2 linked regions of the Alligator mississippiensis genome follow. The protein of the gene in region 1 purifies or fractionates together with the protein of each later gene. This does not show direct contact. Links are inferred from orthologs where the notes say so. Each region holds a gene or a part of one and is shown on either strand. Other genes may lie near its edges.

Evidence for each region.
Region 2: the proteins of PIP4K2A (region 1) and AHCYL1 purify together in Homo sapiens (co-immunoprecipitation; 3 studies listed by BioGRID and IntAct, counting the BioPlex papers as one, with this or other methods). This does not show direct contact. The link is inferred for Alligator mississippiensis from reciprocal best matches to the Homo sapiens genes PIP4K2A and AHCYL1.

The regions. Positions count from the first base shown.
Region 1 is NC_081828.1:186,242,531-186,250,262, forward strand, and holds the start of PIP4K2A (phosphatidylinositol 5-phosphate 4-kinase type-2 alpha), read right to left. Parts: upstream 3,184-7,732; 5' UTR 3,044-3,183; coding exon 2,903-3,043; intron 1-2,902. UniProt on the Homo sapiens protein: Catalyzes the phosphorylation of phosphatidylinositol 5-phosphate (PtdIns5P) on the fourth hydroxyl of the myo-inositol ring, to form phosphatidylinositol 4,5-bisphosphate (PtdIns(4,5)P2). Has both ATP- and GTP-dependent kinase activities.
Region 2 is NC_081837.1:34,573,350-34,580,719, reverse strand, and holds the start of AHCYL1 (S-adenosylhomocysteine hydrolase-like protein 1), read right to left. Parts: upstream 3,253-7,370; 5' UTR 3,112-3,252; coding exon 3,004-3,111; intron 1-3,003. UniProt on the Homo sapiens protein: Multifaceted cellular regulator which coordinates several essential cellular functions including regulation of epithelial HCO3(-) and fluid secretion, mRNA processing and DNA replication.

The sequences.
Region 1 (7,732 bases):
GGATTTTTTATTCCTATTTCTGATTTCTTACAGCACAACACTATCTTTTTTGGCACAGATAAGCCCTGCATGCTCCCCCAAGTGCCATTCCAATCCCCTTCCCCTGTCCAGTCTGCTGCTCTGCTTCCTGCTCCCATCCAGTTTGCTGCTCCGCTTCCCACCCTATCTGCCACTGTGCCACAGAGGCTGCCATGCCACTCATGGCATTCCTGCTGCAGGTTGACCACTCCTGTTTTACAGGACGCTGTTTTCCCCATGATTGTGGTACTGCACAAGAATTGCTGAATGCTGCTTTCTAGTTGCAAGGCAAACCCTGGGGCACCTCTGAGGTGCCCCAAATCAATACAAGATAAATACACTTTATTGGAACAAACGAGATTAACACTGTGAGATATCTTAGCTTAAGTATCAAAGCAAGAAATGACCAAATGTAGCATCTGTACTTAAAATATTTGGACTCCCTATGAAAGGAAAATAGGAGATAAGAGTAGTAACTTTTTTTTGCAACTGCAATCAAGATGAGAAATTAAGATACTATTTATTTCAAGATTTTTATTCATGGTTTTACCTTCTACACTCATATCACAAAAGATCTGTAACGCAGATCATATGCACCGAAGCTCAGAACCACTTCCTTCCAATGCACAGCAATACACTTCTCATGCAAAGTTCACTGGCAACATTAATTTCATGCCAATATTTCACTTAAGTCCTAAATCAAGTTTAGTTTGTTTTCAAATTAAAATGCAGGAGACTATAATACACTCCCTCCACTTGTTCACAAAGTCTAACCAAAGAAACATAGCTAAGTAGAGACTTGTCACAATGAAAAGAAGCTTCCAAAAAGTCTTGCATTTCTTATGTAATCCCAGCATTCTGCTTTGAAATCTTGTATCCAACATGCTACATTTGCCTTGCATGCTTTACAGCTTCATATTCATAAGATATCTGCATCTTATCAGTAGAGTCGCTGTTCCCAATATATCACTCATTCCAATATAGCCAACTAATAGTACTCATCTTCTCTCCAAATTTCTTCAGAAGAAAAAAACAGCAAGCAGCCGTTCATGCACAGTTGCACATCCCTCTCACAGCACACCTTAATGCTCCAATTACCTAAGAGTGCAAAACAGAGTAAGGCAAGGACTCAGATTTCCTTTGTCATCTTAGGGGTAGGGCAATAACCCAGGTGGTAACTGACAGAAGTGAATAAACAGGCATGCAGTTTACACACGCACACAGATGAGGAAGTTAGTCATATGGGGCAAAGCAAATTTTTAAGAAGGTGGGGGGAGTAAGACAGAAAGAGAAGGAAAAGAAAAAAAAAATGAAGAAAAGTGGAGCACAAGATTCACTTAGCTATAAGCTATTTTCACTCATTTACTTTCTAAGCAAATATCCAGTGACTACGTCTGAAGCAAACCAAATCCAATCTATGCTATAAGAGACACAAATAAATGACAGGCAGGCGCGACATTCTTTCGGCTGCTACTTGAGTAAAGGATGAGTTTGGGAGTTTTCTTCTAAGAGCACAACTACTTTATGTTCAGCAAGGACATGTGTAATTGCTCATGGCTGTTAGAAGTAATCCCAGCTCCCTCATAGACTTACCACAGACACCTACTCTGCTTAATTCTGGAGGTCCAGCATTGTGCTGTGAAATATGAACAGGATCAGCAGATTCTTTTTTTAAAAAAGAGAAAAATATTTGTCTGAACAAGAGGCAGACCGCTATATGATTACTACGTCCACAACACTGACTCTTCCCCACAGGAAAAGAATATAAGGAATTGTAAAAAGCACATTGCAGTCAGTTCTGACACGTAACATTTTTTTCTTACTCGACTGTAGAAGAGAAGAACATTGTTCCTTAAAGCTACAAAAGGTAATAGATATTTTCGTAGTCCTTTGCCAGCTCAGTATATAGGATGTCAGCCATTACAACTGACGCACAGGAATTTACTTCATGATATGTCACTTTACAGAGCGCCACTTTATCTTATGCCCACAGCAGGTTTATTGAGAGGCTGTTTCTAGAGATATGAAGAAACTTGAGCTCAAGATTAAAAAGAAAATTGTGGGCAAGTTTATGTTGGCCAGGACGTTAGCTAATAATACGACTTTGTTGAAAGGGGAGTTCAGTGGGCTTTAACGGAAAGATGTAAAAAGTACATATAAATCAAAGTAAACAAGATGAGCAAGGTCTGGAAAGGACAGACGACACGGCAAGTGGAGGAACAGACACATTCTCGTTTTCCCGAACACTGGGCTTTTCGGAATTGATCCGGAGCTACAACTTGCAACTATTTGTGCACCAAGCTAAGTATCAGCCATGTCCGATACCATGAACACAAGAGCAGGAGTTGACAATACAAAGTCCGCAGTATCAAGGGTAACAACGAAAGGCAAAAGCATTTTCCAGCCAGCTGCCCAACGCTTGGTTTCTGGTGACTGCTCCACTCCATGGTACCAGCCGCCTAAAGATGCCAAACTGCACCTTCAGCCTCTTGGAGGGCCTCAAAGAGATGCCAAACCGTCATTCCTGGGCTCCCAATTTTAACATTGGGCAGCCCCAGTTCACCAACAGCAAAACCCCCGAAGCCGTGCAGCTGGACTAGCGCAGGCTGCGCAGTGGCACGGCAGTGGTCTGGCGCCTGGCAGATGCTGACGTCCTGCTGCTTTACCGCGACAAAAAAGCTCCCCCGCCTCTCTCCCCCCAAGGACCGTTTCCTTCCAGCCTGGTGCCGCGCCGGCACCTAACGGGCACGTCCGACGGTCGCGGCGCCGCGGATCCATCGGACGCAGCCTCCCGCCGGCACCCCGCGCCAGCCCGGGGTGCCGCGATGCCAGCGGCCGCAGGCACGGGAACCCCGCGCCAGTGCCCGGCCCGGCCCGCGCTTACCGAGTGGTTGACCCCCCACATGAGGACGCTGAGCAGCGGGTCGCTGGCCCGGAACAGCTTCACTTTTTGCGCCACGAAGTGCTTCTTCTTCGTCTTGGTCTTGCTCGCCATGACGGACACGATGTTGCCAGGGGCCGCCATGGCGCGACCGGCCGAGGGGGCGGCGGGGCGCCCGAGGGCGGCGGGGCGCGCGAGGGCGGCGGCGCGGGGGCGGCGGGCCAGGCCGGGCGGGGCCGGGCAGGGCTGGGCTGGGCTGGCTACCGCGCGACACCAGGCGCATCCTGGCCCGGCCGCCCGCGCCGCCCACTGAGCTGGCCCCGCCCCCCGGCTCCCCCCGCGCCCTGCGTCACGGCGCCCCGCCCCCTCGCCTGCTTTTGTTCTCAGCACGCATGCGCTCTACTGCCGCGCAGGCGCGCTAGGAGCGCTCCGGGGTTGCGGGCGCACAGTCTTTTTAGTGTTTCGTTTTGCCCCCTGTAAAGTTGGTGCTAGCAAGCGTAGCCCCTTTGAGGGGTTGTAGGCGCGTTGGTCTAAGGACACAGACAGGCAAGGCTCTTGGGTCAAGTTGGCATCATTTATTAGACCAACTTAAATCGATGGGGAAAAGAATTTTCTATGGAAAAAAAGGAATGTGAGTTGGTCTAATGGAAGATATCGGATCGACCCAAAAGAGTCTTGCAGGGCGGAGGGAGGAGAAGCGGCACTTGTTTCTGTAGCGTGAAATCCCAGCAACTGCCTGAGCAACCAGAGAAGAGGAACTGGTGAAACTTGCCAAGGGGCTCACACAAGGCCCCGCAGCCATGAGCTGCTGGGTTGCTTTAATAAAAAAGCTCAGATTGGCCCCAAGAACTTTGTCTGCCCATCATTTTTGATGCAACATACAGGTTTCCCTCACCAACCACAGTTTTGACTATCCACGCTTAATACACTATGCACCATTTTGGCTACCAGGGTATACGGTTTTCCATGGCTGCACATCAGCCTGCCACCTGCCATTTTTCTCATAAACCTTTTGTCTTGCCACCCAGGGTTTTGCCAACCAGGGGAACTTTGAGGAACCTAACCACAGCAGTTGGCAAGGGAAACCTGTACGCAAAACTCAAGTTACTTTCAGGGAGCCTTAACAGACTTTCGGGTTTGCTGTCAGCACTTTCCTAAAACTGCTTGCCTCAAAATAAAAGATCTGCTTCAACTTTGATGACCAAGTTCTCACTCACTCAATGGCAAGTTACAATGAGCAATATAAAGTCAGTCAAAAGAAGACTTATTTGCATACCTATTTGCACATTTTTTCAGTGTACAGTAGTTTTCCCCAAAATACAATAATTTTGAGCTTCCAATACAATAATTTCATATTTAAGCCCTGGCAATGCTGCTGCACTTCTCAAGCTCCACTGGGGAGTGGAGCAACCTGTGCTCTCCTCGTTTGTAGCCAGGCAGCAGCCAAGGCATGAAGTTCTTTGCCCAGCAGAGCCACACCTCCCTCTTTGCTGCCCACCAGCCCAGGCAGGCAGCGAGGTGCTGGTGCATCCCAGAGGCACTTCCCTCTGTCCTACGCCTTCCCCTGCCTGTAATAAGGAACTGCATTGCTGCTTTTGGGGGCACCTCCATCACCCGTCACGGAACTCCCTCTCACTAGTTGCTATTGGCTCAGTTGCTGCATAGCACAGCAGCCCAACTCACCCAGCAGTTCATGGCTGCAGGGACTTTTGCTACCCCCTTGGCAAGTTTTACCAGTTCCTCTTCTCTTGTTCCTCAGGAGGTTGCTGGGATTTCACGCTACAGAAACAAATTCTGCTTCCTCTCCCACTGCCCTGCAAGCAGTGACTGGAAGGCTTCCTGCCGCCTGCATCTGGGGAGGTGGAAGGAGCAAGAGCAGGGGTCTTCCCAGTCCCTTTTCTACTGTTCTTGTTTTCGGACTGAAATGTCACCCAGGAACATACACAGCTGTTCAGAGCAGTGGATCCTTTTTCTTCAAACCAGATTTGCCAAACTGTGCCTCAAGTTACTGCTGCAAATGAAGCCACCAAGTTGTCACCCCTTTTGAAAACAGCGCCCACAGATCCCTAAATATAGATTTAAAGCCAGATTTTCAGAATTGCTCAGCACCTACTCTCCTCTAGGCAGGCCCTCAAGCCATGCTTATCACCACAGTATTTGAGCATCTTCCAGCAATACATTAAGCACTGTGATGAATATCTGTCATATTTACTCTGATCCTCTTCCCAGAGGGGAAACCTGAGTCGGGGAGTGTTTTGGATGTTTCATCATCACACATACACAGCTATGTTTATGATAGAGAAAGCAAGGTCAAAGAAATACACTTTGCACTAAGAGAATGGCAGTGACAACATTTGCAATGGTCTTTAGTTCTAGTGGGACTTCCACTATCTGGATTCAGCCCCTGAGAAAGCTTCCTTTCTGGCATAAGTGAGATTTACTCTTAATGTAATGTAACCATAACTGTAAAAAGTTCCATTTGATCAGAGGAGCAAAGTTACTGACTATGATCTTCATTGATGCCCTGAAGATAACAAAGTCCTTGAACATGATTCAATATTCTGCAAGAAGATAATAAAGGAAATAGAGGACAAGTTTAATGTGTTCCTGGGAGCCCATGTTGCAAGGAGACATGTTGCAGTGTTATGTACAGCTAGAATCGCCTCAATCATGAGGGCTTCATATCCAGCTACACTGGGTTGTTATAGTCCAACTAAAAGGTGACAAATATATGAATCAGGCCGGGTCATCATTCACCAGTTATCTAGTCAAGAGATGACAGAAAATATTTCTTGTAGAACTTACTTGAGTTTAGTATCATCCAAGAAGCTGGGAGCATATCAAACTGACTATCTACAAAGGAGCCTGCACTGTGTTGTAGATGCAAAGGCTTTCCTCTACTTGTCAGCATCACTTCTGTCCTGATCAGGTTAAGCATCTACCAGCTGGTTCTTTGGTTCCTATTTAAGACTGGGCTATTTGGAGATAAGGTATGGTCATACATAATGATGGAGAGATAAAGGTGTATTTCATTTGCTTATAACTTTCACCTGAAGCCACATTCACCTAACCAGTTAATCTAGTGGCTACATAGAGATGTTAAATAGGACCAAGAGAAAGTGATGTCTGTGGACTCTATAAGTAAGGAGTAGGGTTGGTTCAGTTTCTCCATTGCTACTCATTGGGTGTAGCCTCCAGAAAGAACTAGTTCTGTTATCACATTTACTTAGACCTCTCTCACCCTTCTCAAATGACACAACAGCACCTTCTGGCAGACCACACTGAATACACAAGTATCTGCCCGCTATCCACTGATAGTTGGACATCACCCATCAATGCCACTAGAGCAGGTAGTTGGATATCCTGGCCTAAATCCAAATTGTGCTAGGTCTAGAACATTTATTTTAAGCTGAGCTTGCAGTTAGCCTTTGGACCAGTTTTACTGTGACCTTGCTGAGGAGCCAAAGGCTTACCACCAGGACAAGAATAAATCTATCCAGGGTTGGCCATTATGTTTGAAAAAGAACTGGAAAATTCCTTCCTGAAATGAGGCATTTGTCATTTTAGTCATGAGTATTATGGTGCATAAGCTAGGAAGGCCGTATCTCAGGTTCACAAGTGTTGGGCTGAGGTTCCTTTAGGGTGTCCAAACCTTTTTTGATGAACCAACATGCTCAACTCTAGGAATGTGGGTAGGTTGTGAGTTGGTTGTGCAGATCATGCAGATCAATGTTATTTGAAAAGCATTCCCAAGGGAGAGAACTTTTCAGCAAAGTAAGCTTACAATCTTTTTACAGCATATAGATCTTGGTTCAGATATCAGTTGTAGGCGCTCAGGATTGATAAAGCAGTTATTATCCTCAATAGTTCCTTGGTGAGGGATATGAATGCTCCAGAAGAGACTAACATGAACATTCTCTTGGCCCCTAAAGCAGTCTCAGCATAGGCTTGAAGGAATTAGTCCTGTTTCATCCTGTATCAGTCTTTGTTTTCTGCAGTTGGGGCCCAGAGTTTCCACTTTTCTCTCCATCTGGCACAGGAAGTTCTCAATGGGAGCTCTTGTTCACTTGCTTCTTTCTCCACATCAGTACTGGACTAATGTCTTGCTGTCCTTGGCTGACCTCAGCAGTGGTTAATGGAGACAGAAACAGGATTTACCAGCCAAAAGTCAGTCTAGGGTTAATCATGACTGACCAACCTGCTTTTAAACAAGACCCTGCCCTATTGAAACTTGTTGCTAAATTATGTTCAGTATCCTGTTAAAACATATTAGCAGGTTTTCTACACACCACATTTGTCTCTGTATGTATGTGCCCTAAGATTGAAACTAATTGCCATTCAGTACATTGTGTTAGCGAGTTAAAGGACTGTACTTTGAAGAAGAGGGTATACAGAGTTCATAAGCAAGGCTTTGCTTGGCTACTGGAAGGTAATATTTCCCTTTGCAATTATCTTCTGCAGCTGCAAAGAACAGAAGACCCACAGAATTTCCCTGGGCCAAGTGCCACAGACACCAGTTTCAGCTACAGGCTTATAAATTGTTCCATTACTCTATAAATTGGTCTAGGCACATGTCACTTTTAATGAAACTCGAATACTTTAAGTCTTGTCTGAAATTCTAATTTTATTTTTTTGGACAAACATTGTAAGACCTGGTGAAAACACGAGGTATCTTAAGCATCTTAGTCTTGTAAAGAAAGGATAATAAAACCTGTGACGTCATGCATCAATTAAAAAATGTATATTTTTTAAGGGAGACAGAACTGGGTGTTTTGTAAACAGCATCTCTGTTCTTTTTATGTTATAAAGAAACATGGTTATCTTAACTGTTTT
Region 2 (7,370 bases), on another chromosome or scaffold:
CTTGGGCATGTGCTACAAAGCTCCAGTCGCCGGCTGAAACAGCAAGCACGAGACAGAATTTAGCCCATCTCGCACCTCCACTCTGTTGCATGAATAAGAATAAACAGCTGCTGGTTGGCCTGATGAAAAAAGTAGTCCCCACCTGACCAGGTAGATCAAGGGGGCCATGAAGCATCATGGTGGTGGTATCGGCGGACACTGCAGTAGTATGCTGCTGTTACAATCAACTCCAGAAACTCTAAGGATATAGTATGCATTGCAGTTAGGGATCACACGGGCTCTCCAAGCAAGAAGTCTTCCTTGGCCAACTTTATCATCTCAGGGCATTTTATCTTCTCCACTTAGAGCGCTTCCCCACTCAGATCAAAGAGCAGGTACCACCCTCACCTCAAAATAAAATGGCTCCATTACCAAAATCTTCCATAAACAAAAGCACCCAAGAGCCCTGTTCACTGAATGTAAAAAGGGCAATTAAGACATGAGGACACTGGTATTCCCCAAGGAAAATAGCTCAAACCACCGACACCAAACACCCTGTTGGGTATAGGATGGGGAGGGAGGATTATTTCAGTCCTTTGAGAACACAGGACGATTCCTGAGCCGTCACAGGAACAGTTGCCCTGGACATGTGGATTCCTCACTATTTCACGGCTGTAGGGAGATCCACCCGTGTTTCTAAAGCACCCAACGTAACATCCAAGGATAGCAGTAGGGACAACTGGACAATGCAGCTGCACGTTGCAACGTGGCAGTTTCACTGGGAAGAAAACTGGTGTCCTTCGGCTCAACAAGACAAGATTTCCGCTAGGTTGCAGTGAAGCAGGCATCTCAGCTAAGCCCCCTTCCCCGTCTCAAAGACAACCACGCACTGCTATGGAGGGCCAAAATCTCGCTTCACCTCAGCTTCTCCGGCTTCTACTTAAAGGCAGAGTCTACCATGTTTAAGCTTTTAATCGCTTACTTCCTGCTGTTTCCCTTTTTAACCTTTTTCCAAGTTAAAGACAAGAAGAAAAAAAATATATCAGGAGATCCTCAAGGCTGGTTTGCAGAACTAATATAGATCCTACCAGCTGGATCGCTCAGGCTGCCACAGTTGGTTGTTTCGAGGAGCATGCTTGCTTCTTCCATGACCAGCTCTTCTCTCAGTCTAGCTCCTGTCCGAGAACCTCCTCATTAATGGTCCCCACCTTTGGGCGCTTTGCCTGGGAAACTGAACACACTAGCAACCTGTCTGCATGAACATGGAGGGATGTTCACTCCTATCAGCACTTTCACTGCACACTGGTGCTCACAGCAAGCATAAGCATAAGCCTCCCCTTTGAAAAGCTATTCAGTAAGAGTTAGTACAAAAGAGAAAGCACCCATACCAATGCCCCGGGGATATTCCCAGCTTCCCCCATCTGATCTTCAATGCACCCTGCCCCTTAAAGAATCATTTGCCCAGAGGATGTCAATCAGGGCAAGGATTTGATAACTTCCCTGCCAAGTTTGGTTTATTTCAGCATTTTTAATACCATACCTGCTAGGGACCTCACTCCTCTGATGAAACCATAGCAGGAAGCTCTCAGCTATTTTCCTGGAATTTCTAGATAAAGGCGATGAGCTTCGAAGCTCACAAAGGAGACGCACAAGACACTCTGCCTTGCATTAAAAATAAAGAAGGGTCGCAAAAAGTAATAAGGCCTTTTTCCGATTATGATTTTGATACAAAGCAATCTGAAGATGCCTCGAGCTCCGAGACAAGCCGCAGACCCTCAGCACTGGATGCTTCAGAGCAGCGTTTCTCAACCGGTGAGTCGCGACCCAAAAGTGAGTCACAAGAATATACGAAAGGGTCGCGAACAAACTTTAAAAATGGATCAACACACTTTGAAAAGAAAGGAGAAAAACATGGGCAACTGTGGCTTTTCCCTTGCAGGCTGGCAGAGGTCCAGCCTGCGAGGGGCTGCTTGGGACCCCCTTGCCTCACACCCACCCACTGCCCCACACACTGAGGGGCTGGGGGCAGTGGTTTGGGACTGGCCATCGAGGTTTACAAACGGGTCCTGGTACAGAAAAGGTTGAGAACCGCTGCTTTCGAGGTTGCCAGTGCCTCTGCTCTTCACAATCGCCAGATGGGCCTGGAGCATTCATCCTTCAGGGCTGGCGCTCGTTACGTTATCAGCCTCAAAGCTCATCTCATTGCATGCCCTCCAATGCTCGGGGCAGTATTACAGCGAGATCAAGTCAGCAGCACGACCCAAGCACAGATTCATAGATGCGAGGGTCAGAAGAGCCCTCGACAGATCATCGAGTCCAACCCCCTGCCTGGGCTGCAAAACAGCCTCTACCTACACCCGCAACGTCAAGCGAATACCTCTACGGGCTCACCGACCCCTCGGCCTGACGGAGGAGCATCCCCAGCACGGGTCTAAAGAGCCTTCTCCACGCTACCACCACCTGCCGGGGGATGCTAAGCGCCAGGTATCCCTCGGGCAGTGCCGACATCGGTTTCCCATTGGTTTCACAGCTCTCCGGTGAAACTGGAACAGCTGGAAGGAGTCTGGCTCCCGCGCTCCAGCTGTGGCTGCACCTCTGGAACGGCAGGCAGGGCTCCTTCGCCCAGGCCCGAGCCAACGCCGCCCGCGCTGGGGGAGCCCCCGGCTCCTCAATCCCCAGCAACCGGAGGCAGGTTAAGCAAGCGCCCCGGGCGCCGGGAGACGCCCGAAAGGCGAGCGGGCGAAGCACGAGGCTGGCACAGCCCCGGTCCCCCCAAGTCAACCCCAACCCCGCGGGCGCTGGCTTAACCAGCTGCCCCCCTGTTGCAAACAGACCGAGCCGTTATCCCGGGATAACCCACGCCGTCCCGGGGCAAGGTGGGCAGACACCCACACCTCTATCCTGGAGTAAACCCTTGCTGCCCCCTTGGTGGGGGAGGAGAGGGCAGCAGGGGTTAATCCCGGGATAGCCCCACACAGGGGAGGGGAGGGGAGGGGAGGGCAGACCACCCCCCCACAGGGGTACCTTTTTGGGCGCCTTGGTGACCGTGGCCATGAAGTTGAACTTCTCGGCGTCCTCGATCTCCTTGGCCTGCTTCATTTCGTCCCCGCCTGCCGCGTCCGGCATCGACATCCTGGTGCTGCAAGCCGGGCCGAGCCGAGCCGAGCGGAGCCGGGCGCGGGGACTCGAACCCGCGGAGTCGCGGGGCTGGGTGGGGGGGGGCAGCGCAGAACTCGTGCCCACCCGGCCGGACCTCTGCAGGCGGACTGCGGCCGCCGCACGCCGCGGGAGGGGGCGGGGCTAGGCGGGCATACGTCAGCACGCACGGGCCGGCTTAGCGTTGGCACGCATGGGCCGGGCAAGGGACGCGAGGGGGAAGTGCTGGCAAGGGGAGGTGGTGCGGAGCCCGGCTGGCTGGGTGCGACCCCTGGAGGGGAGGAGTGGGGCGTGCAGCAAACTGTGTGCAGAAGGGGCAGCGCTGGTGGGCACTGGACATTCAGGGGCATGCTGGGGCTGGGAGCCCACACTGCTGAGTGTGTCAGACTGGGCAACTATGTGCCAGGAGCGTGGTGTACCTTCGTGGCGTGGGATGGTCCCCGTGCCCCCAGAGATGCCAGTCTAGATGTGCAGGTTGCAGATAAACCCAGCAAAGGCCCGTGCCCAGCATCCTCCCGCCCCGCTTCAGGGTGGCATCTGCAGGAAAGCGGTGGGAGAGGACGGAGAGGATGCATCCAACTCCATCTGGAAAAGGGACACATGGCACCGGCTGTTCAAAGTCCCCCCTGGGAAAGTTAGTGGACAGGAAGAACGAAGGGGACAGCGATGCAATTGGACCTAAAGAAGGCGAGGAGGACAACAACAGGATCAGCAGCAGTAGAAGCGACATTAACAGTGACAAGGATGGGAAATGAACTGAGAAAGGGAACCCCAAATCGGGGCCGGGACTAAGGGACTGTGCTTGGGTTAGGGCAGGGCAGAGGGTGGGTGCACAGGGAAGCGGGTGTAGTTTTTGTAACAGGTGCATGGGTTTCTTAAGGTAGTTTTAAAAAGAAAAGGTGCAGTGGAAGTCTATGATAGAGGATGTGTATACATACCTAAATGTGTGTGTGTGTGTGTGTGTGTGTGTGTATATATATATATATATATATATTAATTTTTTAAAAGATGGGTGGCATCTGCAGGCTCCTTGGACTTGTTCGGGGCACTGGGTGCTGGGCCGTGCCTCTGCTCTGCGTCCCCATTGGGATCCACCTTTGGTCTTCGCTCCCAGCCCAGCAATTCCACGTGTTGTCCCCAGTGATCAGGCCTTGTGGCCTCCCTTTGACTGAGAGGGCGTATAGTTTACAAAGGGCTTGCACTCGCCATCCCTATGTGATTAACAGGCCTGCCCCCATGGCATCCAGCTTGGGATAAGGCGTGGTGGGTGGGTGCGATGCCAGTGCTGGCAAGGGCGCACTTCCCAAGCAGCCCCCAGGTGGCACTGTCACTCCTCGCTGTCCAGCTGTCATGCAGTGCCAGCCAGGCACCAGGGGGAGCGCGGCCCCCAGGGTTAGACCTGGGTGCTCAGGTCGGCTGCAGCTCAGACACCCCTGTGCTGCAGCCTGGGGACAAGGGCAGCCCCAGCCCTGGCCATCCTTGTGCTGGGATGTGGGCTTCTCCCCCCAGGGTCTTGCATCCATGTGATCTTGCTTCTGAGCTGAGCGCTCAGCCCGGTGTCAGTGGCTCTCCTCCTCCAGACCTACGGCAGGCTGCTGAGATTCACAGTCCCTTTGGCCCTCAGCTTCCCTTGCAGTGCTGCTGTTGCTACCCCTCAGTTGCAGCAGCCCTCAGCGTTGCTCTGGGACCTGGGTCAGGTGCTGGGGTTGGGGGTGGTTTTGGAAAAACTTCATCAGTCAGGTTTCAGTTCTGCAAAAGCAAAAACACTACTCAGAGCTCCTACGGTGCAGTGTGAAAGGTCTTCAGTGCTGGGCGATAGGGGACCTAAAGGGCTTCAAGCAGAAGCCAAACCTCTGGGTGTTGCAGGGGGAGAGAGGCCCGAGGCTGCAGAGAAGAATAGGCTGGCGCTGCTGGGCTCTTTAGGGCAGTAGGAAATGTAGCCTGCAATTCACCAGGTCACTAGGGGAGATTGGGGCTGGCTCGTCACTGAAAGCAGGATTCTGGAAGGATTTGAGGCTGATGAACAGCTCCAGAGGAAAGAAAAACCAGTCAATGCATATGATGGGGCTGATCTGGTTTGGTAAACTCCATCTTCCCTTTTAATTCCACTCCATTTTGCCTTGAGTTCCCCCACCACCCTCGCTAAGCTCTTCCTCCCAAGCCGCTCCACCCAGACACACGTAAGTAGGACCCTTAGTAGAGGGAGCAGTGTCTTCTTGGATACTCACTTGGGGCCCCAGAGATGCAGAACTTTCTGTAAAGGAGTTGTTTTTGCTTTGGGTGGTGGAATGAGAGGGCTGTTATGATAAGTCTGCTTCATCACCTGTGCAGCAGGGGTAAAGAGCTGGACGGTCCCCCCAGAGAAAGGTGTGAGGGTTAATGCCTGCAAACGAGCATGCAGATCTCCCAGAAGAAGTAGGAATGTAACAGACACAAGTGCCCAGATGCGTCTTGTACATGGACACATGCACACCCCACACACAACCCACCCTCCACATATTACACATCCTCACAAAAATCTTGTGCATATACACATACGCACACACATGCCTCCCCACATGCACTGCAGACAGGGACAAACACTGGCACGCATCTTGTGCATACACATGCACAAAACCCTTTACACATCCAAACCCTCCCCCACATACACACACAAATGCATCTTGCACAACTACAGCCTCCCCACATGTGCCCTAAGTGCCCACTGACGTGCACACATGCAATAGACACTGCAAATACATGTGTCATCAAACACACTTACTCTACATAGATACACACACGCGCATTATCATATGTGCAAGCACACATGCAGGGCAAATAAAGGAAGTGAGTGCCAGGAGCATGCTCAGTCCTTCATCATCCATCAATAAGTCTGCAGTTAAGTGTTGGTGAGCTGTGTTACATGGACACCTCTAGCAGACCCAATCCCAGTCATGCATGGGCGCATGCACACCACATCTCCACCCCTCACACACACAGGCTCCCTGTACTCTTTCCAATAATCATTGTGTGTCTATACCACCCTCCTTTAAAAACCACCTGTCTTCTTATCTCCATCTACATAAGCCTGTGTGAAGCCGCAGGGGTACTTCAAAGGAAGTTTGCTGAGCTCTGTTCTCAGAACCAGTGCACCACAGACTACCTAGATAGCTATCGCAGGAACTTTGGCAGGAAGGCGCGTACAGCTCGTCACAGACAGCTCCCTCTCTTCTGGGTTATCCTTTGCATCAGGCTTTCTGCCCAGCCTGCCCTGTTCCCCTGCATCTCCAGGGTCTTACAGGATCCTCACAATATTGGTATAGCCAACTCTGATGAGTGACACACTCTCTGGAGTTTTCATTAAAGCTCCAGCTCCTGGAGTCATGGGATGATATTTTATTGTTTTTTAGGAACTTACTCGCTTTTTGCTTGCAGAGAAGGGTCGCACAATAGGACCCTCAATGCTCAGAAATCAGAAAACCCATGAAAAGAGTCCCCAGTCTCTTGTTTAAAACCGTCGTGAATTTTCAGCCAATCCCATGATTTTCTGTTTGTTTAGAGGGGGAAGGGGAGAGGAAGGCTGACTCACCACTGGTGCACATTTGCAGCTGGAAACACTGCTCAATGGAAAGTCCCTTTTGCAGCTGAAACAAAAGGCCTCTCTCCTGGTCTCTTCTTGGGGGGAGAGAGAGCAGCACTCTACCAAATGTAAGTGCACAGGAGTCACCAGAGCTGTGGTCCATCTAACTCTCCCTCCTCCTTCAAGTGGCTGCTGCTTCAGATGAAGGGGCAAGAACCCCCCTTGGCAGTCAGTTGGTGGAGTAACCAGCAGTGGAAGCTATTTCCCGACTCCCTACTAAAGCCAACAGAGCTACCTCTAGAGCCCAGCCCAAGAGGTAATGGAAAGGGATGCACAGGGCCCCTACAAGTGGTGCACAGTAAAGTGATCCCTGCCTTTACAGGTGCTGCCATCCCTTAGCCCACTTCTCTTTCTCCCTTTTTCAGGAGTGAAAGCAAGACGGAGTGGTCTGGAGAAGGGGTGGGGGGGAAGCAGAGAGAGAGCAAGCAGGTGAACTGGAGAGAGGGAGAACATCAAAACTCTGGGGGCGATGGGAAAAGGCACAGAGCAATAACCATGAGGGTCAGGGCACACCGGCTTCAGCCATGCCACGGGCGTGAGAGCTGCCATGACAAATGGGGTTAATGCCATCAGGCCTGGTTCACACCCTGGTTGCGAGGCACCAGCAGGGAACTGG